2 linked regions of the Notamacropus eugenii genome follow. The protein of the gene in region 1 purifies or fractionates together with the protein of each later gene. This does not show direct contact. Links are inferred from orthologs where the notes say so. Each region holds a gene or a part of one and is shown on either strand. Other genes may lie near its edges.

Evidence for each region.
Region 2: the proteins of PPT1 (region 1) and CANX purify together in Homo sapiens (affinity purification with mass spectrometry; 3 studies listed by BioGRID and IntAct, with this or other methods). This does not show direct contact. The link is inferred for Notamacropus eugenii from reciprocal best matches to the Homo sapiens genes PPT1 and CANX.

The regions. Positions count from the first base shown.
Region 1 is NC_092876.1:78,947,850-78,958,890, reverse strand, and holds the start of PPT1 (palmitoyl-protein thioesterase 1), read right to left. Parts: upstream 4,296-11,041; 5' UTR 4,238-4,295; coding exon 4,108-4,237; intron 1,624-4,107; coding exon 1,514-1,623; intron 558-1,513; coding exon 430-557; intron 1-429. UniProt on the Homo sapiens protein: Has thioesterase activity against fatty acid thioesters with 14 -18 carbons, including palmitoyl-CoA, S-palmitoyl-N-acetylcysteamine, and palmitoylated proteins. In contrast to PPT2, PPT1 can hydrolyze palmitoylated proteins and palmitoylcysteine.
Region 2 is NC_092872.1:416,714,881-416,725,849, forward strand, and holds the start of CANX (calnexin), read right to left. Parts: upstream 4,893-10,969; 5' UTR 4,711-4,892; intron 1-4,710. UniProt on the Homo sapiens protein: Calcium-binding protein that interacts with newly synthesized monoglucosylated glycoproteins in the endoplasmic reticulum. It may act in assisting protein assembly and/or in the retention within the ER of unassembled protein subunits.

The sequences.
Region 1 (11,041 bases):
GCTGTCTTGGGGAGAGAGGAGGGTGGGGGGGGCAGGTAGGGGGAAAAAATCTAAGGTTTATGGTAGTGATTGTAGAACATTAAAAATAAAAAATAAAAACAAATAAATAAATACATAAAAACAGATACTAGAGGCGCAGTGACATACAGCACAGACAGCTCTGAAGTCCTAAGTCTGAACCCCGCCTCAGACACTTACCAGCTATGAGACCCTGGGCAAGACACTTAACCTTGTGGAGCCTTGGTTTCCTCATCTGTACAATGGGCCTAATTATACCTGTAGTATCTGGGCCATTGGGTTGCTGTGAGGCTCAAATGAGAACACACGTGTAAAGGACCCTGCAATTCCTGGTCACAATGAACACAGGCTACCATTTTTGTAAAAATACCAAAAAGTCCTTTACCCATGAGGTGAGAGAAAGGGACTTACAGGAACTGGCCACCTTGGGAGAATCCCATGGCGTTGTAGCCTTGCTGCAGCTTGGGGTTCTTGGCCAGCATCTCACACACTAGAGTCACCTGGTGATTCACGTTTAAGAAGAAGCTGTTCTCCATATCCTGAAGAAGAGAGGGGAAGAGAAGGGAAGGAAAAAGGAAAGGGGTAGGGGAAGAGGAGAGAGGAATGAAAGGAAGGGGATAGAAGAGGAGGGAGAGGAGAGAAAAGAAGAGAAAGGGACAGAAGAGAGGGGAGGAAAGAAGGGAAGGGGTAGAGACAAGGGAGGGGGGAAAAGGGAGGCAAGGAAGAGGAAGAGAAGGGAGGGGAGGGGAGGGGAGAGGAAAAAACAGACAAGAGAGGATAGGAGAGAAGAGGAGAGGGGTAGGTAAGTAGGAAGGAAAGGGTGAAGGGAAAAAGCAGAGAAAAGAAGAGAAGAGGAGGAAATAGAAGGGAAGAAAAGGAGAGAAGGGAGAAAAAAAGAAAGAGGAAGAGGAAGAGAAGAAGAAAGGAAGAAGGGAGGAGAGGAAAGGAGGAGGAGGGGATGTAAGAGAGGAGAGGGGAGGGAGAGCAGAAGAGGAAGGAGGAGGAAAAGGGAAGGGGGAGGAGGAGGAAAGGGAAGAGCTTATGAAAACCAAGTTTCCACAGTCATAGCACTATTAAAAGCCTCTCTAAGCCTCAGTTTTGAAGTTATGCTTTGCTATTAACTAGTTATATGACTTTAGACACGTCCCTGGGTCCCTTTAAGCTTAGTTTCTTCATCTATAAAGTAAGGGGGAGGGGAGTGTAGACAAGAGATGGCCTCTGCCAGGCTGGGATTCTCTTATTCTAGATAAATACCACTTTCCTTCTACATTAAGAGAACAGAGATACTTCCAAAAGCCTGGCAGACACCCAGGAGTCCCTCCTTCAGGTCACTAAGAGTGAAAGTTCCATTGAAAGACCCAATAAAATTATCTTCTCAGGAAGAGTGCTATAAGAAAAAATGAAACCACATGAATCACTTTTCAACTGAACATTTATCATGAGCTCCTTGGTCTAACAGAAGTCCCTCAGTGACTTAGCTTTGTGGATGTATTACCTCAATCAGAGTCTTCCCAATCTCCAAAGACAAAACATAAATTCCTGGTATTTTGTGCTCAACCATTTTTTTAATGGCCCCCATGCTCAGGGGGTTACAGCAGCTGTCTCCTAGACAGGAGAAGAAAGAAAACAAGGGAAGTTTTAGGTGTTACAAATAGAATCATCTGTGAGCTTCAGAAGCCACAACACTTTAACAGGGAAACAATGATGTAGCCACACAATCATTATAGATATACAACAGACAGAACAATAGCCTTGGGATAGGGAGATGTGGGTTCAAGTCCCAGCCCTGCCACTTTCTACCTATAATTTGGAGCAAGTCACCTCTCTCCTGCAGGCCTGTTGGTTCATCTGTAAAATGGGTATAATATTGACTTGCTTCACAAGGATTGTCATAAAATTACAGAAGGGACCTTGGAAGCCATCAAGTCTTACCCTTGTTTTTTACAGATCAGAAAACTGAGGCACGGAGCAGGGTCACATAGTTAGCAATTATCTGTGGCAGGATTTGAAACCAAGTCTTCCTGACTCCATGTCCAGCACTCTAGCCACTATTCCTCATTACCTAGTGGCACTATACCACCTATTTCACAAGATAACTGGAAGAAAGAACTTTGTAGACTTCACAGCCCTATGTAAACATTATTTTATCATTACAATTATGTGCAAGGCACTATGGATGAAAAATGTCATTAGTCCTTGTCCTCAGTGAGATGCAGTGGAACAAGAATGACATTCGGAGGTAGAGAATGTTGATTCACGTCTCGGCTCTGCTTACGACCACCTGTTTTAGCTCGGGCAAATCACAGAAGCTCTGAGTCTGTTTCCTCATCTCTAGAATGAAGAAACAGACAAACTAATAAATTGATTATGAAGATGACATACCTTAGTATTTTATACTTAGTATTCAAAGTACTTATATTTTGCAAACCATAACATGATACATGAATGTAACTATTATTAATATCATTAACAACTGAGTCTGTTGGGTTAAATGATTTCTATGGTCCTTTCCAACATCTGCTTTAAGGCTGTTTCTAGCTCTAAGTTCTATGGACTTACAAATTAGCAGGAAAATATGGCATTTATCAATAGCCATAAGTTAGAATGTGATGAGTATAAAGGTCAGAAAAGGAAGAGAGATGGGAAAAGGAAAATTCACCTAGAACTGAGACCAGGAAAGGCTTCATGTTAGATGTGACACTTAAGCTGCACATTCTTTTCCTATCTAGAGCTTCTGGGGTGGTAATAATGATAATCATCTCTTCCTCCACTGATATTCTCCTTACAGTACAGAAGTGGCCCTGACTTCTCTGGTAGTCCTGAAAAACTGCAAAGACTTTAGGTGGGAACTCTGTCCTAGTTAACCCCAGAGAGGATCCTAACCAGAAAATTAGCCCTAGGGAATGGATTTTTTCCCATCCAAAGATCTAGAAGAATTGTGATATATAGCAATAAAATTATAATTCTATCCCAGTTCATGTTTGCACAGCAATTTAGAGACTGGAAAGTTCTTTCACATCCATAATTCTGACAGATTTATAGGTATATTGGCAGCTCTCACTTCCCCTTTCCATCCCCCCAAAATGACTGTCAACCCAGAAAGGACAAGTATGGAGATAGAACTGTGGATGTGAAATCACCAAACCTGGTTTTCAAATTTCAGCTTTGCAATCTGCATAGTACATTAATCAACCAATCAAGAGACATTTATTAAACACCAACTATGTGCCCAGCACCATGCAAAGTGATGAAACTGAGAAATAAAGAAAAGATACATTTCCTTCTTCAAAGAGCTAACATTCTGTTAGTTAACTCTCTTAACCTTTCGGGGACTCAGTTTCTTCATCTGCAAAATGAAGGGGTTGGACTGCATGACCCTTCTGGCTCCTGACCTCTAACTCTATGATCCCAGTATATCGGGGCTACAAAGGACTCCAAGGTCAACAGGTGTTATAGAAGAAATGCTTGTCTTAGGATCAGGCGTTACAGAGCCCATTCTCTTGAAGGTACATGCTGGACTAAGTGACCCCTGGCAGGCTGCAGAGAACCCTGGACTTAGAATCAGGAAGCCAGTCTGAATTCTGTGGGACCAGACAGCCCCTAAGATCCCCACCCGTTCTAAACCTTTGACCCCATGCTCCTTCCCAGCTCTGAGATTTCAGCCTCTGCGATCGTCTGCGGATCAGAGTGGGGAGCTGGACACCTTCCACCACCACCAACGTCTAAGTCCAAGATCACCCGTGTGTGCCTAGGGGCACACCGGCCAAGTGCCCAAAGTGTCAGAGGCTAGATTCGAACCCACGTCCCATCACTCCACCCGCTTTGCGCAGCTGCCTCTGGCTGGCAAAGACCAGGCTGCTGACAGGTAGGCGCCCAGGAAATCTTACGGAGCTGCCGAGGCGGGAGGGGTTGGGGTCCCCAGAGGGGCAGTGCCTGGCCGGGGCAGAGCCAGTTCAGGCACCCGGGATGCCTGACTCCCGGCCGGGGGCCTTCGCCCGGGTGCCCGTTTCCTCCACAAAGGAAGAGAGCCGGCACAACCTTTTAGCACCCCCGCGACTGGCGTTCCCCGCCCGGCCCGGCCCGGCTCACCCATCCCGTGCCAGATGACCAGCGGCAGCGGCTCCTGAGGAGGCTCGGTCCGCGGGGAGGCTGAGGCTGGCGGGGGCCGTCGGATGAGGGCCGCGCTCAGCAGCAGCAGGAACAGCGTGGGGAAAGCCATCTTGGCCCAATCACATGACCGCGCCCTTAAGGAGCCTGCGGTCGCTGAAGCCCCGCCCCTCGTGCCTCCGATCACCCAATCACAGAGTAGAAAGTGTCTCTCGCTCCTTCCGCTCCTGCCCCTCCCCGCTGCTGCGTCCCGCCTCTCGCTCTCCTCTCTGCGCTCTTCCTTCCCCTTCTTCCTCCCTTCAGCGGTCCCGGCGGGTTTCGGGGGCGGGCGGCTGCGGTTGCCAGTGAGCCCCCAGGAAGCACGAGGAGGTTCAAAGCCCGGCCGGGCCGGGGGGCCGGTGCGACTGCGCGTGCGCCTGCCCTGGCCGGTCTTTCTCTGCCCCAGTCGGTGGGTGGTAGAAAGAGCGCGGGATTTGGAATTCTTCAAAGGCCAGTGTCAGGTACAGCCCCCTGCCCTTGCTGGGGGCGCGGCCGTGGAGAAAGCCCTGGAACCGAGAGCGCCGCACGTGCGTAACCGTGTGAGCCCCGGACACTGAGCCCAGGGTGACTGATTTGTCCGGACCGCACGCAGCCGCCTCGGTCCGGCTTCGATGCCTTCCCTCACTTTAGCGCTCTCCCACCCTTCGCTACTGAGCTACCCTGAATCTTTGTATCCAATACCACCCTGAGTCTGTGTATCCAGTACCACCCTGAGTCTGTGTATCCAGTACCACCCTGAGTCTGTGTCCAATGCCACCCTGAATCTGTGTATCCAGTACCACCCTGAGTCTGTGTCCAATGCCACCCTGAATCTGTGTCCAATGCCACCCTGAATCTGTGTATCCAGTACCACCCTGAGTCTGTGTATCCAGTACCACCCTGAGTCTGTGTCCAATGCCACCCTGAATCTTTGTATCCAATACCACCCTGAGTCTGTGTATCCAGTACCACCCTGAATCTGTGTCCAATGCCACCCTGAATCTTTGTATCCAATACCACCCTGAGTCTGTGTATCCAGTACCACCCTGAGTCTGTGTCCAATGCCACCCTGAATCTGTGTCCAATGCCACCCTAAATCTTTGTATCCAGTACCACCCTGAGTCTGTGTATCCAGTACCACCCTGAGTCTGTGTCCAATGCCACCCTGAATCTGTGTCCAATGCCACCCTGAATCTGTGTATCCAGTACCACCCTGAGTCTGTGTCCAATGCCACCCTGAATCTTTGTATCCAGTACCACCCTGAGTCTGTGTCCAATACCACCCTGAATCTGTGTCCAATGCCACCCTGAATCTGTGTATCCAGTACCACCCTGAGTCTGTGTATCCAGTACCACCCTGAGTCTGTGTCCAATGCCACCCTGAATCTTTGTATCCAATACCACCCTGAGTCTGTGTATCCAGTACCACCCTGAGTCTGTGTCCAATGCCACCCTGAATCTGTGTCCAATGCCACCCTAAATCTTTGTATCCAGTACCACCCTGAGTCTGTGTATCCAGTACCACCCTGAGTCTGTGTCCAATGCCACCCTGAATCTGTGTATCCAGTACCACCCTGAGTCTGTGTCCAATGCCACCCTGAATCTGTGTCCAATGCCACCCTGAATCTGTGTCCAATACCACCCTGAGTCTCTGTATCTAATGCCACCCTGAGTCTGTGTTCAATGCCACCCTGAATCTGTATATCCAGTACCACCCTGAGTCTGTGTCCAATGCCACCCTGAGTCTGTGTATCCAGTACCACCCTGAGTCTGTGTCCAATGCCACCCTGAATCTGTGTCCAATGCCACCCTGAATCTGTGTCCAATACCACCCTGAGTCTCTGTATCTAATGCCACCCTGAGTCTGTGTCCAGTGCCACCCTGAATCTGTGTATCCAGTACCACCCTGAGTCTGTGTCCAATGCCACCCTGAATCTCTATGTCCAATACCACCCTGAATCTCTGTGTCCAATGCCACCCTGAATCTGTGTCCAATACCACTCTGAGTCTCTGTATCTAATGCCACCCTGAGTCTCTTTATCCAATACCACCCTGAATATCTGTATCCAATACCACCCTGAATCTGTGTCCAATACCATGCTGAGTCTGTATCTAATGCCACCCTGAGGCTGTGTCCAATACCACCTTGAATCTGTCTGTATCCAATACTACCCTGAATCTTTGTATCCAATACCACCCAAAATCTCTCAATACCACCCTGAATCTCTGTATCCAGTACCATCCTGAGTCTGTGTCCAATGCCACCCTGAATCTGTGTCCAATACCACACTGAGTCTCTGTATCTAATGCCACCCTGAGGCTGTGTCCAATGCCACCCTGAATCTGTGTCCAATACCACCCTGAATCTGTGTCCAATACCACGCTGAGTCTCTGTATCCAGTACCACCCTGAGTCTCTGTATCAATGCCACCCTGAATCTGTGTCCAATACCACCTTGAATCTGTATCCAATACTACCCTGAATCTTTGTTTCCAATACCACCCAAAATCTCTCAATACCATCCTGAATCTTTGTATCCAATACCACCCTGAATCTGTGTCCAATACCACCATGAATCTGTGTCCAATACCACCCTGAACCTCTGTATCCAGTACCACCCTGAGTCTCTGTATCCAATGCCACCCTGAATCTGTGTCCAATACTACCCTGAATCTTTGTATCCAATACCACCATGAATTTCTCAATAGCACTCTGAATCTCTGTATCCAATACCACCATGAATCTCTCAATACCAGCCTGAATCTCTGTATCCAAATGTATCTCTGCATCCAATACCACCCTGAATCTCTTTGAAACTCTCCTGTAAGTGGCAATTTTGTTTTTAGGCAATCAGATTACATGACTTATCTATGGTCCCACAGCTACTAGTTGTCTGGCTCGGGTCCTCTTAACTCCAGGGCAGGTGTTCTATCCACTGTACCACCTAGCTTTCCCAGTTTTCTATTTTTTAAAGCAGATGAGTGGCCAGAACACATCACAGAGTCAGGAGGACCTGAGTTCTAATTCAAACTCAGATATTTGACATTTACTAGCTGTTTGGCCCTGGGCAAGTTACTTAAACCTAATTGCCTCACCAAAAAAAAAAAAATTACTTCATTCAATTCCACAAATATTTAACTCCAGTTTTGTGTAAAACCCTGTGCTAATTAATGAATGGTTTCATTTTATTACTCAATGGGAAATGGGAGCTCTGCACACCAGTGAAATCATAAATCTAGTCCCTATCCCTATCAGTTTTAATTCAACAAACACTTATTTAACTCCTAATGTGTGTTAAGAGAGCCCTGTGCTGGGGCTGGGAGGATTTTTTTTTTTTTAATAAGATCAAAAATAAGAAAAAAATGTTTAAATAAGAAAAAGCCTCTGTCCTCATGCAGCTGTTTGGGATAATCAGGTATGATATAGGAGTTCAGAAGAGGGAGAGATAGAACAACTGGAATATTCAAGAAAGATTTCCTAAAGAAGTCAATATATTGTGTCTCTTCCCATCCAGTTGCTTGTCCTTTATTCCCTTCTCTCTCCCATGTGACCCTAAATATGAGCATTACCTCAGATTTAGACCTCAGACCTCTTATGCTTTTTAATGTTCACTTCCTCAGAAAATAGAATCACTTTCCAGGCCTTTATCATCCACCTGTAACACCAAAAGCTCCATCCCATGTCTAGTCCTAGCTGTGTACCTGAAGAATATGCATGTGACCCATTTAAACTGAGAGTCCTCATCCTGACTTTCACTTATGCTGAAGAATTGACTGCCCCAAAGCAAGACTACATCTTCCCCTCAGGATTCTAGGGATACCTCTGAGGAGTTAGGGGATACTTCTCAATGCTATTGGCCCAAGTCTTCATTTGGGTGTATTCTCCCCAATATGGGTCACTGGTGATTAGCAGCCCAGTTTCCTTTAACCAATTAATATCAATTAGCTTTTACAAAGGGATACATACTGCTCAAATAAAGCAAGAATACAAGTACCAACCATTCTCTTAATCCTGTGGACATATTCTCACCTATACCACCTCAATTCCTAGGGAGAATGAGCTCAAACCAAAAGCTTTTACAAGTTTTTCATCTCCCCACCAAATTCATTTCTGAATGAGCAATCCAGAGCCTTGGCTATGGGATTAATCTCCTGCTGAGCTAAGATCCAGTTACTCCTTTTGAGGCAGCTCACAAATTTAGCATGAACTCTTGGGACTGGACTTTGGCTCCTACTACTTTTGAAGCATCTCCAAAACTCCATTTAAGAGTAAAAGAAAACACATGCCAAGAAGTAAAATGCAGAGACACTCAGCCGTCAGAGGCCACATACTGTCTGGGTTAGGAAAAGCTTAAGACCTCTTCCAGAACCCAGAGGTCTACGGCATATCTGATTTCAATCCAAGCCCAGAAAGGGGCCTAGAGCTGGGAATCTTTTATATACATGCCCCATTCTGATTCAGTAGCCAACTAAAAGGCATTCAGAGTGGGTCGAAAAGGGTCATACGACCTTGTGCACATACTCTGAAGCAGACAGTTGGACCTTTCACACCATGTCTTCAGCATGCTCCTCACATGCTCATCGTGCCAGTACTCATTGATCGGTCACCATTACAAATGTATAGCCCAGTGGATTAAATGCCTAATGGAAATCAGTTCTGCCTTTTCCTCAAGCTCAGCACATTCCAAACTGAGCACATTATCTTTTCCCCATACACTGGTTTCCCTTTCTTACTCCCCTTTTTCTGTTTGAGGGACCTTTATTTTTGTGGTTATTAATGCTTGAAAACTTGTAAGTTATCTTTTCCTGGCCCCCTCCTACCTGTTCAGTCTTCTTACACCCTGTGATCAAGTGACGCTGGCCTCCTTGCTCTTCCTCTGGGCATTTTCACTGCCTGTTTCCTATGCATGGAATGCTCTCTCTCCTCCTCTGTGCCTCCCAAATTACTTGACTTCCTTCAAGTCCCAGCTAAAATTCCATCTCCTACAAGAATCTTCTCTTTGATTCACCCTTAGTGCAAATTAGTTTGGTCATTTTTCAGTTGTATCCGACTCTTTGTGACCCCAGTTGAGGTTTTCTTGGGAAAGATACTGGAGAGATTTGCCATGTCCTTCTCCAGTTCATTTTACAGATGAGGAATTGAGGCAAACTGCCTTCCCTGTATTGATTAACTACAATTGATCCTGTCTATATCTTATTAGTATATAGTTGTTTGCATGTTGTCTTCCCACTAGATTGTGAGCTCCTTGAGAGCAAGGACTGTTTGTTGCATTTCTTTGTATCCAAAGTTCTTACTAAATGTGCTCAGTGCCTGGCACATTGCTTGTTGATTGACTGATTCCCCAGTTTTCCTTGGTCTACACATTCCAATCAATCATAAGTTCCTGTCAGTTTTTTCTTCATAGTTTTCATTCAAATGTTTGATTCTCTACTTTGTGCAGCTCCACAGAAGTCATACTCTGAAGCCAAGTTGTGTTATAGAGGTGGGTTTTCTTAGCTGAGCACAAGCTCAGGCAGTTCCTGCCAAGCTGAGAGGATCGTAGAGGTAGTTGTAACAATAATAATAATAATTGCTACTACTTCTGCTGCTGCTGCTTCTAGTGCTACTATTGCTATCACTACTACTACTACTATTATTGCTATCACTACTACCTACTACTATCACTACTACTATTGCTATCACTACCACTACTACTACTACTATCACTACTACTACTGTTGCTATCACTACTACTACCCCCATACTACTACTACTATTACTATCATTACTACTACAACTACTATTGCCAACACTATACTACAACTATTACTATCACTGCTACTACTACTATTACTATTGCTATCACTATATTACTACTACTACTACTATCACTACTACTACTACTATCATTACTTCTGCTGCTACTATTTATATTCTGCTTTTAGGTTTGCAAATCATTTTATAAATATTATCTCATTTGATCCTCACAGCAACCTGGTGAGGAAGGTGTTATTATTATTCTCAGACCCTGGGCAAACCTCTTAACCTCTGTTTGCCTCAGTTTCCTCATCTGTAAAATGGAAATACCTACCTCCCAGGGTTGTTGTGAAGATCAAATGAGATAATAATCATAAAATGCTTACAACAGTGCCGAGCACTATATAATTGTCAGCTATTATTTTTTTTCAGATGAGGAAACAAAAGCAGACAAAGATTAAGTGACTAGCCCAGTGTCATATAGCTAATTAGGGTCTGGGGGAGAATTTGAACTCAGATCTTCCTGACTCCAGGTCTAATACTCTGTGTACTGTGGCACCATCTGACTGCTACCTTCAAGTATGAACTCAATAATAGACACTGTTTACTCTTCAAGTGTCAGTCTAGCTAAGTCTGGAAAGGCTAATCACCAGGTCATGAACCAGATAAAAGTACAAAATAACCCTCTACCTTTTGAGAGCTACTTCCAAAGAAAAAGTGCAGAAAGACGTAGGGGTGAGAAGGGGTAGAAAGGGCTCTAACAGCTGTTAGGTAGTCTACAATCATTAATTTAACTATTATCGTTCAACATGTAATGTTTCTCCAATGTCCAATGAGTTGATACAAAGTAAAAGGCGTCTTCATTGAAATTAAGGTAAACTGAGGCACAAACTTGCAAGTATGTTCAACTTATAGGTAAGACTAGTGATTACCAATAAAATGGGCCTCTCAACTCCTCTGTAAGCCCACAAGGTTGCTAGCCTTCACAATGGGAATGGCTTCACAACTTTTGGGAAGTATAAAAGAACAAAGAACAGAAAACATCACAGGTAGAAAACAATATGATTGGATACAAAGTCTGAAGGGTCAGAGATGATGAAAAATAATATGTCTTGATGGAAAGCGGGAAAGCAGGACTAGCAACAACCCCTACTTCTACTTT
Region 2 (10,969 bases), on another chromosome or scaffold:
ACTTAACTCTGAACCTCAATTTCCTCCTCTACAAAATGAGGATAATATTACCTATCTCAAAGGACTTTTGTTAAGTTCACATAATATAATATATAAGTACATTGCAAATTATGAAATATTGCACAAATGTCAGTAATTGTCAATAAAATTATCAAATGGTAGTTTCCTTAATTTATAAAGATTTGGTTTTCACCAAAAAGGAAGTGTTCTTCAGCAGCTTTTACATTTAATTTTGGTCCTCAAATAATTCTCAAGATAACACAGGAGAATGAAATATTATAACTAGAAGTCTAACTCACTCATTTCAGAAATGAAGAAACTGAGACCCCTAGATAATGAAAATGACCTGTTCTCAAAGTTACAGTGAAAATAGCTAGCTAGCTCTAGAAACTCAGTTTTCTATCTCCAAGTCTGGTCCTTTTTCCACTATGCCAAAACTTCCTCATAGGACCTAAAAGTATAAAAACAAAAATTTCTAAGGTTGTTAGTCCATATCATTTTTTGGTCACTGTTGAAAGGATAAATAGGTTAATAGTAAACATACCTTTCTGTGTAATTATAAGTAAAGAATTGGACCCAAAGTGAAAATATTTCCCAAAGTTTAACATAATCTTTCTTCAGGGCTAAAAAAAAAAGTGAACACTTAACGAAACAAAAAAACAAAAACAAAACCCAAGAGGTAAGTAGTATTCCATATACTCCAAAATGGTTATAGTAGCATTTTTTGTGAAAGCAAAAAGTTGTTAACAAAGTAGATGACCATCAACTAGGGAATGGCTAATGTGAATGCAATGGAATATTACTCTGTTGTAAGAAATGATGACTATGATGGTGCAGAAACATGGAAAGATTTACATTAAGTGATGCAGAGTGAACACAAGAAAACAGTGACAAAAATATAAATGGAAAGAACCCAAAAAACAAACCTCCCCCCAAAAGTAATGCTGTCAAATTATAAAGAACGAGTTTCAAAGTAAAGATAATCCCAAATCTTTGTAAAGGGAAGAGGTCCAAAGGTATGGCACTTCAGATTCTTTTGATGTGTTTACCAACACTCCCCCCACCCCAAACAGTTATATGGAATGACTTGCTAGAGGACACTGGTGAAATTCTGGTGATGTAAAAAATACTCATGAAACTATCAATAAAATTTTATTTTAAAAATAAAGGAGGAAAAATGATTCATAAAAGACAATCAAAAGATGCAGGCTTGAATCTAGCCACTTAGCTTGGACACCCTGGCAAGTCATGCCCCTACCTCTGGGCCTCTGTTCACTCCACTGGAAATCAAGAAGGCTGAATCCATGTGCACTTCTCAGATTCTCCCTAGTCTTTCCTACCACCCATCAATTGCAAGAATAACTTCCACTACCTCTTTATTTCCCTTTTTTTGGCCTCTGTCAATAACAGAAGACCCAGTTGTTTATTCTTTACAACTGCATTTATAAAATAGTAATGCTAAATATTCGAGTCTCTGATTTCTTTAAAAAGCAAACTCTTTAAAAGTGTAAAACTTAAACTTACCTAAAGAATTATCTGAATTGTCATTCTAAACATTGTATTATTTCATCTTATTATTAACATTTAGTTTTCAATACAATGTACTGGATCACATACATAGTTTATGCGTTTTTATTCTTTTCTGAGTATTGACACATCTTACAGTGATTTATTTTAGTTTACATTTGAGTAGTATTTTAAGCTTTTCAAAATATTTTTGGAGCGATCATCTGGTTTGAATTCCATGTTATCTCTCCAAACTACAGAAGACACTGAGGCCCAGATTAAATCTGAAATCTGCTACATATAAACACCATTCATTACCCAGCCCTAGTGTTAGCTATCACTTTACCAACCAAAATTGCCTCATTTGGGGGGCAAATGCACAGCCTAATATTATGTAACAAAGTAGCAGCAAGGATTTTTCTTCTAGAACCACTTAACTCAGTGGGCTTTGTAAGATTATCATTCAGCAGTTTAATGCTAGTTATCAAAAACAAAAGTCTGCTCTCCATATTGATACCAAGGATCTGCGTTTACTGTGATAAAGGCACTTACAATAGATACAACTTGTGTATTAGTAAAATCAGAAAAGAATACTCAGATCCCCCAATATCTTAACAGAAAAAAGTCCTGTCTAGTCTCAAATTTAACTTACTACATATACCTGTAGTGCCAATACATGTCACTTTAATTTCAGTTTTAAGATTTTTTTTTTTTAACCAAAGCTTCTTTATAATTCATTCACCTACTACATTAGGTTGCACAAAGTGAGAATTACCATGAAATTGACAATTACTCTTAAGCCCGGACTAGAGCGAAAGAATCAAAAGAAAAGCTGCCTCCATGGCTCAAGAAAGATCCACTTTATATTTGGTAACAGATCATCACAATAGTACCCCATTAAAAAAATATTCAACAAAGCTCGATTCCAAAGCAATATTCAAAACCACACAAAAATCTAATTCAAAATTAAAAGTAATTTGGAGTTTCCCTTCCAGCATATTTCTTTCCTCTCCCATATTGTAGACACATGTCAGTACTGCCTTCCAAATTGTCCCTTAGTGGCAATGGTGAGATTTACCACCAACTCCAAGTTTATTTTTCTTCATCAGCATAAATGCCTTTGCTTATGGTAAACAGCTAAATTTCCCTGCCTTCTCCCCAACATCTCAACTAGATATGTGTAAAATGTTTAGTGCAGTGCCTGACACATAGCAGGTGCTCAATAAATGCTTGTTCCCATCCCCAAACATTTATTAAGCACCTACCAATACAGAGCAATGGTTATGTGATGTTATAAAACATATAGAAGGTATACTGCCTATCCTCTAAAAATCTAGAGAAATACAACATCAATATGAATTTGCAACACAATACCATATAAGAACCTTGAAGAATTAGAAAGCAAAATGCCAGTGAGGTCTGAGGAGAATGTGATTATTATCAAAGAAGGCATTTGGGATGAAGTTAACATTTAAATTGGGATTTAAAAGCTGGGTAGGATTTCACAAGATGACTAGGGAAAAAGAGGGTCAACTTCAACAAAGGCATAAAGTTGAGTGTGCTATTTGCGCTCAGGAACACAAGGTTGTCCAGTTTGGCTGGATCAGAACATGTTAAAGAATAATGTTTGGAAAGGTAGATGGGGTGATTCCAGGCTTGGAGCCTTGGATACCAGGAATAGTTGTTGAAGTTTACTCAGTAGGCAGGAGAGAGCCACTTAAAAAGATCTTTTGTTTGTAAGTGTGGCATGACCAGATCCATTTTCAAAGGTTATTTTGGCATTGGAATGAAAGATTGAAAAGGGCTGGTTAAGAGTTCAAGAATGGATGGATTCCAGAAGATCTAGTCACACTGATTGACTCCAAAAATTTTAATCAATTCAGCGAACATTTGTTAAACACCTGCCAGTGCAAAAGGACCGCTGCCCTCAGGGCAAACTAGGTAGAGAGTGGTGATACAAACCAGTACTCAGGAATCTGTTTTGATAAAAATATAATTAATGTGCTTTTGGACATGTTGAGGTCTAGGTCTCTGTAGGATGTCCAATGAAGATATTCCTTAGGCATTTGGAGATGTGTCTGGAACTATAAATTGAGGAATTATCTGCACAGGGTTAGAAACTTGGATAGTGGTATAGCCAAGAGAGTGCTTGTCGAAGGACAGAAAAGTCTCATGGGGAGCACCCACGTGGAAGACAGAATTTAAAAGTGAGAATATAATGCCTGAAACAGAGAAAATATTACTTCTAGTACTGTATCAGAGCTTAAGGGACCTAGAAAATGGTATGGGCTTAAGACCACCAAAGAAAGTACTAGAAGAATGAGGTTCCATACAGCTTTGCCAATCACCTGGCTGTGTGACCTTGGGCAAGTTGCTTCCCTTCTCTGGGCCACTAAAACAAGGAGATCGGCCCTGGAAAGGTTATCTTTCCAGAGATAAGATTCCCAAAACTCTTTGGAATACTTATGACTCTCTAAAGACAAATGAAGAACTATATATAGACAGACGTCCACGTTCCTAACACTTAGGAACAAGTTTTTCGACCTGTCTTCCAGCAGTTTCTTTCCCAACAAGTTACCTACCCCCTGAGCGAGGTCCCCTTTCCCACCCTGCCCCCGTTTCGAGATCGTTGGTTTCTCAACATCTCAGCCACCTCGTGGCCGGGAGGGTCTGCCTTCTTCGTCCGGTACGTTCCCGGGCTCTTGCCTAAACGCAGGAAGATGGCTTCTCTCTCCCCCGCGCCGCCCCAGGCCTGTCTCTCCCCAGAGGCCTTCCCACTCGGGCTGGGCCAGGCCGCACATCGCCCGCCTGGGGATGAGCGAACAGACAAGGGGCACGCGGGCCTCCGAGGCGCCTGGGCCGCCGCCCGCTGCGGCGAGCCCGGCCCGGAGGTCACGCCCCCCTCCGGGCTCCGGCCCCGCTGACCTCCCGTCCGGCCTCCCTCCGCAGGCCTCTCCACTCCCACAAATCTTCGCACGGGCCCGGCTCCGGGCTCCATCCTGCTTTTCCGCTGGGCAGTCCCGGTCCCCAGCCCCAGACCGCGTCACTCCCACCAGTCCTCTGGTCCCCAGGGCCTCAGGCCTCTTCCCCCACCACTCAAGCCTGGCCAGCCTAGGCCAGCCCTCCTCCGCCCCGGACGTGAACCGACCTCCCAGACCCCGGCCGCCCAAGTCCCCAGGACTAGGGCAGCTGCGTCCGTCTCACCTCGTGCTTCGCGGCCGGCGCCGGCGCCACTTCCCACCCCCTCGCCCCACGCCCAGCACCTCGGATGCTGCAGCGGATCGTCCCGAAGCGAACGTCACGTGCCTCAGGACTAGGAGGACGCCGAGCGAACCCCAACGCGCGCGGCGCCCTGCCCAGGCCCCACCCCTAGTTTCTGATTGGTCAATGCTGCATCTCAACCCTGCCTCTCTCCCATCGTGCTAGCACTCCATTGGTCTGTTTGACCATCGCTCCAGATACCTTTCCACACGCCCCCTAGGGCTACTCTTCGTGGAGGATGCGGATTGGCTAAAAGGGAGGGCAGGAAGTGCCTGCTGATTGGATGGAAGACAGCTGGTGGGGGAAGGGAGCAAGAGCAAGGAGGGAAGGCCCTCCCGACTGACTGTGGGCCAGGAATAGACCAGACTGGGCGGTGACGGCCTTTGGATTGTAGCACTGGACTCCACCCGTCCGCCTCCTGTGGAAGCCTGGGATTGGGAGATTAGAAGAGGGTCGGTAGCCCTGGTCTCCGCGTGGCGCTAGTGCAAATGACCCAGGATTTTAGCTCTCCCCCTCTCTTCCTTGACTCCCCCTTCGGTTTCCCGCGCGCGCGCGTGCGCCCGCCTTCATGATTGGCTCGGGGCGGAGAGAGCCGGGGCGTGCAGATTCCTGGGTCAGGGAGGGGCGACCTGGCCCGGAGCTAGAGATAAACACCCGCTGGGCACCCTCCCGGGCCTGCCGCCCGCTTTACTCTAGCCAGCCCGGCTCGTTCGTTGCTTTCCTGTGAGGGCTTTGCGACCCGACACTTTCTTCCCACTTTCCCCCCCGTAGACAGGCTGGAGAGGCACTGGCCTAGGAGCACCCAGGCTTCCCAGCTCGCCTCCTTTTGAAAGGGCTGGCACAGATAATGAATGGGATTCGCATTCCCAGTGTACACATGGGCAGCCGGGCCAGGCAGGCCAAAGACTTGACAGCGATGCAGTGATCTGCGCGCAGTCGGGTGGTTTTCCGAGTTAGCGCATTAAGCAGACCGTCCCGCGTGGGTAACGGCCGGTGCCGCCTTGTCTGTGAAGCCTTGCTGGCCGTAGAAGTACCGAAGAAGTAACGGACTGGGTGAATGTGTCTAAACACCCGGACGTCACGCTTCCCAGGCCCCGGAGATCTCTCCAGCCTTTCGGGCTTGATTTCCCCGCCCCCACGACCGCAGGCCCCTCAGCCTCCTGTGACTTTGGGGCTTTTTGAACCCGGAGCTTGAAGAGGGATCTTGTTCTTTCATTCAGGGTCAGTGTTGTGAGCCCCGGCCGGGATAGCAGTTTAAGTTAAACATTCAAGGCCGGGATACGTTTCCTTATTGGTCTGTGTTATGACACCAGCACCCCCTTCCTCTCCTGCGTCCATCCGCTCTCTGGGCTGGCTCACCAGACGTTCTTCTCCGCTTTGGGAAACAACTGCCCCTGTTGCCTGAGGCCTGTGCTTGATGGAGTTGGAAAGGGCATGTTTCCCAATTTCTCTGTCTTTCCCTTGGGGCACCCTTATTAAATGGGTGCACTTCCAAATGCCTACAGGATGCCCTACCGTACCCCAAATTTAACACGTCTAAATTGGAACTTGTCACTTTTTTGCCAAAACTGACCCTTTTGGCATTTTCTGTCAAGGGCAGAGCCTTCCCCTCTGTTAGCCAGGATTAAAACCATGGTGTTACCTTTGACCCCTCTCTCCTACCCCGTCTCCATTGAGTCCCCCTTTCCGCCACCTCCCCATTTCAGGCTCTTCTTCTTGGCTGATTCAGTAGCCCTCTAAATTCTCTGTCTCCAATTTCTCCCCAGCCCACTCTGCACACTTGTGTACTCTTCTAAGCTATTTCCCTCATGCGCAGCCCTGTCATGTGGCTAAATCCACAGTATGACATAGCAGCCAAAGGAGTGCAACCTTGGCCCGCACCAAGAGAAGTCTGGTGTCCGGAGGGAGGGAGCTGGCAGCGCTTGCACTGGTACCGTGTCCAGTTCTGGATGCTGTATTTTAGGAACCCCGTGAACAAGCTGAAACAAGAAGTCTGGCAGTTCGGATGGAGGAGGGAATTGGACATGATCAGCTGAAGGAACTGTGTATGTTCAGTGTGCGAAGGAGAAAACAGATTTTTTTTTCATCATTTTGGGGAGCTCTCCTGTGAAAAATGCTTTCATTGAGGAAACTCCTCTGTAACTGCTTGTCTTAGAGTTATCAAAGACACTGAGACGTAAACTTGTCTGGTCACATGACCAGAATCTATTAGAGGCAGAACTCCAATAGGCAGCCCAATAATCAGTCAAAGAAGTCTGACTGGACTATTTATACCAGAAAGGCCAAGTGGAAGAAGAGCACCTTTTACCCAGATTACAACATAAATTTGGCTGGACAACCTATAGTACTTGCCTATCAGCATGTATATCTGGGACAGATAGTACAGCCAAAGGAAACTTGAGAAGGGTTCCCAAATACAAATAACCTTTCACCTCCTTAATTAAGACTGGGATACCTAGGGAAGCAGGAAATTGAAGAAAAATTTTACAGCAAGTTTCTCTGACAAAGGTCTTATTTTTCAAATATATAGAGAACTAGATCAAATTTATAAGAATATAAGTCATTCTCATTTGATAGACGGTCAAAGGGTATGAACAGGAAGTCTTCAGAAGAAGAAATCAAAGCTATCCATAGTCATGAAAAAATGCTCTAAATCACTATTGATTTGAGAAATGCAAATTGATACAACTCTGAGGTACCACTTCACACCTATCAGATTGCCTAATATGACAGAAGGGGAGCATGACAAATGTTGGAGGCGAAGTGGGAAAATTGGGACACTAATGAACTGTTGGTAGAGTTGTGAAGGGATGCAACCATTCTGGAGAGCAATTTGAAACTACTCCCAAAGGCCTATATACTCTTTGGCCCAGGAATATCATTTTTAGGTCTGTATCCCAAAGAGATCAAAGAAAAAAGAAAAGAACTTATATGTACTGTTATGATTGAAATCAAGATAAACTGAGAAACAAGATCCCAAACATGATACATTTAGTAGTTAGGCAAGCAGTACCCAATAAATTGGGTCAATGGCCTCTCTCAATGACCAAAGACCCTGAGTGAGGGCTAACAGGGTCTTTTATAACAATTGACAAGATGACAGAGAAAAATTTCCGGTGCTCTAAGTGTATTATCTTCTAAAGAGGAGGTGGGTTGAATCACCTCAGTTCCTTCTCATTTCTTCCTTTTGGGGAGATAAAAGCAATCCTAACTTGAAAGGGTTAGCCTACAGACTTGAATCAACTTGAATCTGAATTGTTTTCCTTTTGCTTTTTAAGAGGACCAATAACTTGAATCTTGGGTGAATTTGATTTAAATGAGATAGAGTTGCACAAAGTCATCAACCTCACCCTCTCCTCCTGAGTCATCATAGGCCAGTGGCTAGATAAAAATCAGGAAGACTGGCGGTGGTGGAGATGTAGTGGATTACTTTGGAATCTTCAATGTCTAACCAAGATCTGAGTTCTTCACTTTAAGGGACTGCTTCAGCTGCCTTCATGGCTGAACAAATTGTTCTCATCTGCCTATTTTGCCAAGGAAGAGTTTACATGCTTAGGGTAGGCATCCCTATCATTCACCCACAGGTTTGAGGCCCTTGGGTTACCCACAAACTGGATTGGCCCATCTGCCCAATTTGGTAGTGGGTGGCCCTTTGTGGATTCTACAGCTTCTTGGAGCCCTACGTGATAGCTAAGTAAAAGGTGAAAGGTGGACACGAAAGTTGGTGGAGTAGCTCTGAAAAGGGCTCAGCAAGCCCTCACACCATTGAGGCTGGTCCTCCTGAAACACCTCATACACCCCTGAACTTAAGTGAGTAGTGGATGAGGTTACAAAGGTAGACAATACAAGGGTGAAGATTTAATTCAGAACAGAATTGAATTCTGAGTAATTACAGGATTCTTTAAATAGATTCTTTAAAATATAATTAAAATCAGTTTTAAATTTTACGGTACAAACAGTACAAAAATATTTATAGCAGCTCTTTTTGTGGTGGCAAAGAATTGGAAATCAAAGTAATGCCCATCAACTAGGAATCAGCTGAACAAAGCGGGGTATATGATTGTGATGAAATGCTATTGCACTATAAAAAATGATGAGCAAGATAGTTTCAGAAAAATATGGAAAGGCTTATATGAACTGATCCAAAAATTGAGCAGGAGATCATTGTACATAATAAAAGCATGATTGTGAATAACTTGGTTATTCAGATCAGTGTAATGATCCCAGATAATTACAAAGGACTTATGATGAAAAATGCTATTCACCTCCAGAGAGAGAACTGATGGAGTCTGAATGTAGATTGAAGCATAATTTTTTACTTTAATTTTCTTAGAATTTGATTTTTTGTTTGTTTGGATTTTTTGGTCTTTTTCTTTTTTTGCAACATGACTAACATGGAAATGTGTTTTTCTTGACTTCATATGTATAACATATATCAAATTGCTTGCCTTCTCAAGAAGGAGAGAAAGGAAGAATTTTGAACTCAAAAATTTTAAAAATAAATGTTAAAAATTTATTTACATGTAATTGGGAAATGTTTAACAAAATAAAAATATATTGGGAGAAAAATGGGATATTTGCTGAAAGCAGGCAGGCATAGGAGCCTTTATAAATGTCTTGGCCTTGGCCAACAGTTTCAGGAAAGAATTCTTCTTCATGTTTTGGAGTCAATAAACAAAACTGATTTCCCATTCCTTTCTACCTCATTCAGTATCCCACCTAACTGAGCCTTGGGGTAAGGAAAGATTCTTCTTCCCAAGATGAGCAAAAAAACCCCCCAAAACAAAAAACAACCAAGAATGATACCCAGTGTTGGTAGTTATTTATTCCATTAGTCTGACTGTGCTGGGTACAGAAGGTCAAGAAAGGCAGCTGGGGAGCCTGCTATTCTCCCTAACTACATCTAAGTTTCAAGGTCATACATTTGGAGCATGGAGTATGTCTGTTAAAGTTCACTAAAGGTGTCATGCTGTATAATCAAGGGACACAGAGGTTTGGTTTTATTGATCCAGGAGACTTGGTTCCCATTTTTATTTTTCCCCTTGGACACATAAGTAACTTGTCTGACATGAATAAGAGCTTTTATTTTTTTAATCAATCAGCCAGTAAGCATTTATAAGTGTCTACTATGTGCCAGACATGGTGCTAGGCTCTGGAGTTAAAAATACAAAGAATGAAACTTCCTACTCTCAAGGAATTTGTATTAAGATACAGTTTCTCTACGAGGGAAACAGCATTTTTACCTTTCTTTGTATTCTCTTCAGCACAGCGCCTGGCATATTTTAAGTGCTTGAAGAATACCTGTGGACTGCCTTACTAACCCTGACATTCTAGGAATGTAGCATAATAGAGAGCACACCTGGGATTCAGAGAGACCAGTCCCTCTACTGACATATTCTGGCTGGATGATATTGAGCAAACCATTTCAGTATTTCTCAGTGTCCTCAGGTTACAATGCTTGCCAGTTGCACCAGACTTGCATCTACAAGTTCATAGAGGGAGGCTTATGCCAAAGAAAGCATAAATCCAGACCCATAAGACTATTCAAGGCTCCCTGCTCCCCACCAGAGAAAGAGGAGAGCTTTATTTGTACTCATTTCTACTTGTCAGATGGGAGTCCCAAAAGTGCTGTCTCACGAGGCCACCAGAGAGAAAGCAAAGAGCTAAGTGGAAATGCTGTGCACCCAGGTGAAGTCAGATTATTATATGTAATTAATGCTTCACTTTTGCTTTTACTACAAAGCTGCTCTAACTAACTTCTCAGCAACCCCTGAAGGCTGCAGGTCAAACTTGTACCTTTTGCATTCATAGGCTAAAGGTTTAAAAAAAGATTTTAGAAATCATCCAAGGACACCTGGAGTGAATCTTTGTAATCCTCTGTATTTTATTTTGTGCATTTAAAACATTATGTTAAGAAGGGGTTTTTAGGCTTCACCAGACTGTTGGAGGGATACATGACCAAAAAAGGATGAAGAACTCCTGATCCAGTCCCAACTCTTCATTTTACAGGTAACGAAACATGCCCAGAAAGGTCAAATGATCTACTTAGGGTTACACAGCTAATAAATAACAGATTTGAGATCTAAACCTAGATTCTGAAAGATCAAATGCAGTCTTATTGTACTCTACCAAGGATGATACGTCATTGTGGGTGTGCTACCTCTCTTTAAAGGAGAGGCTGGCGTTGAAGCAAAGAAAATCC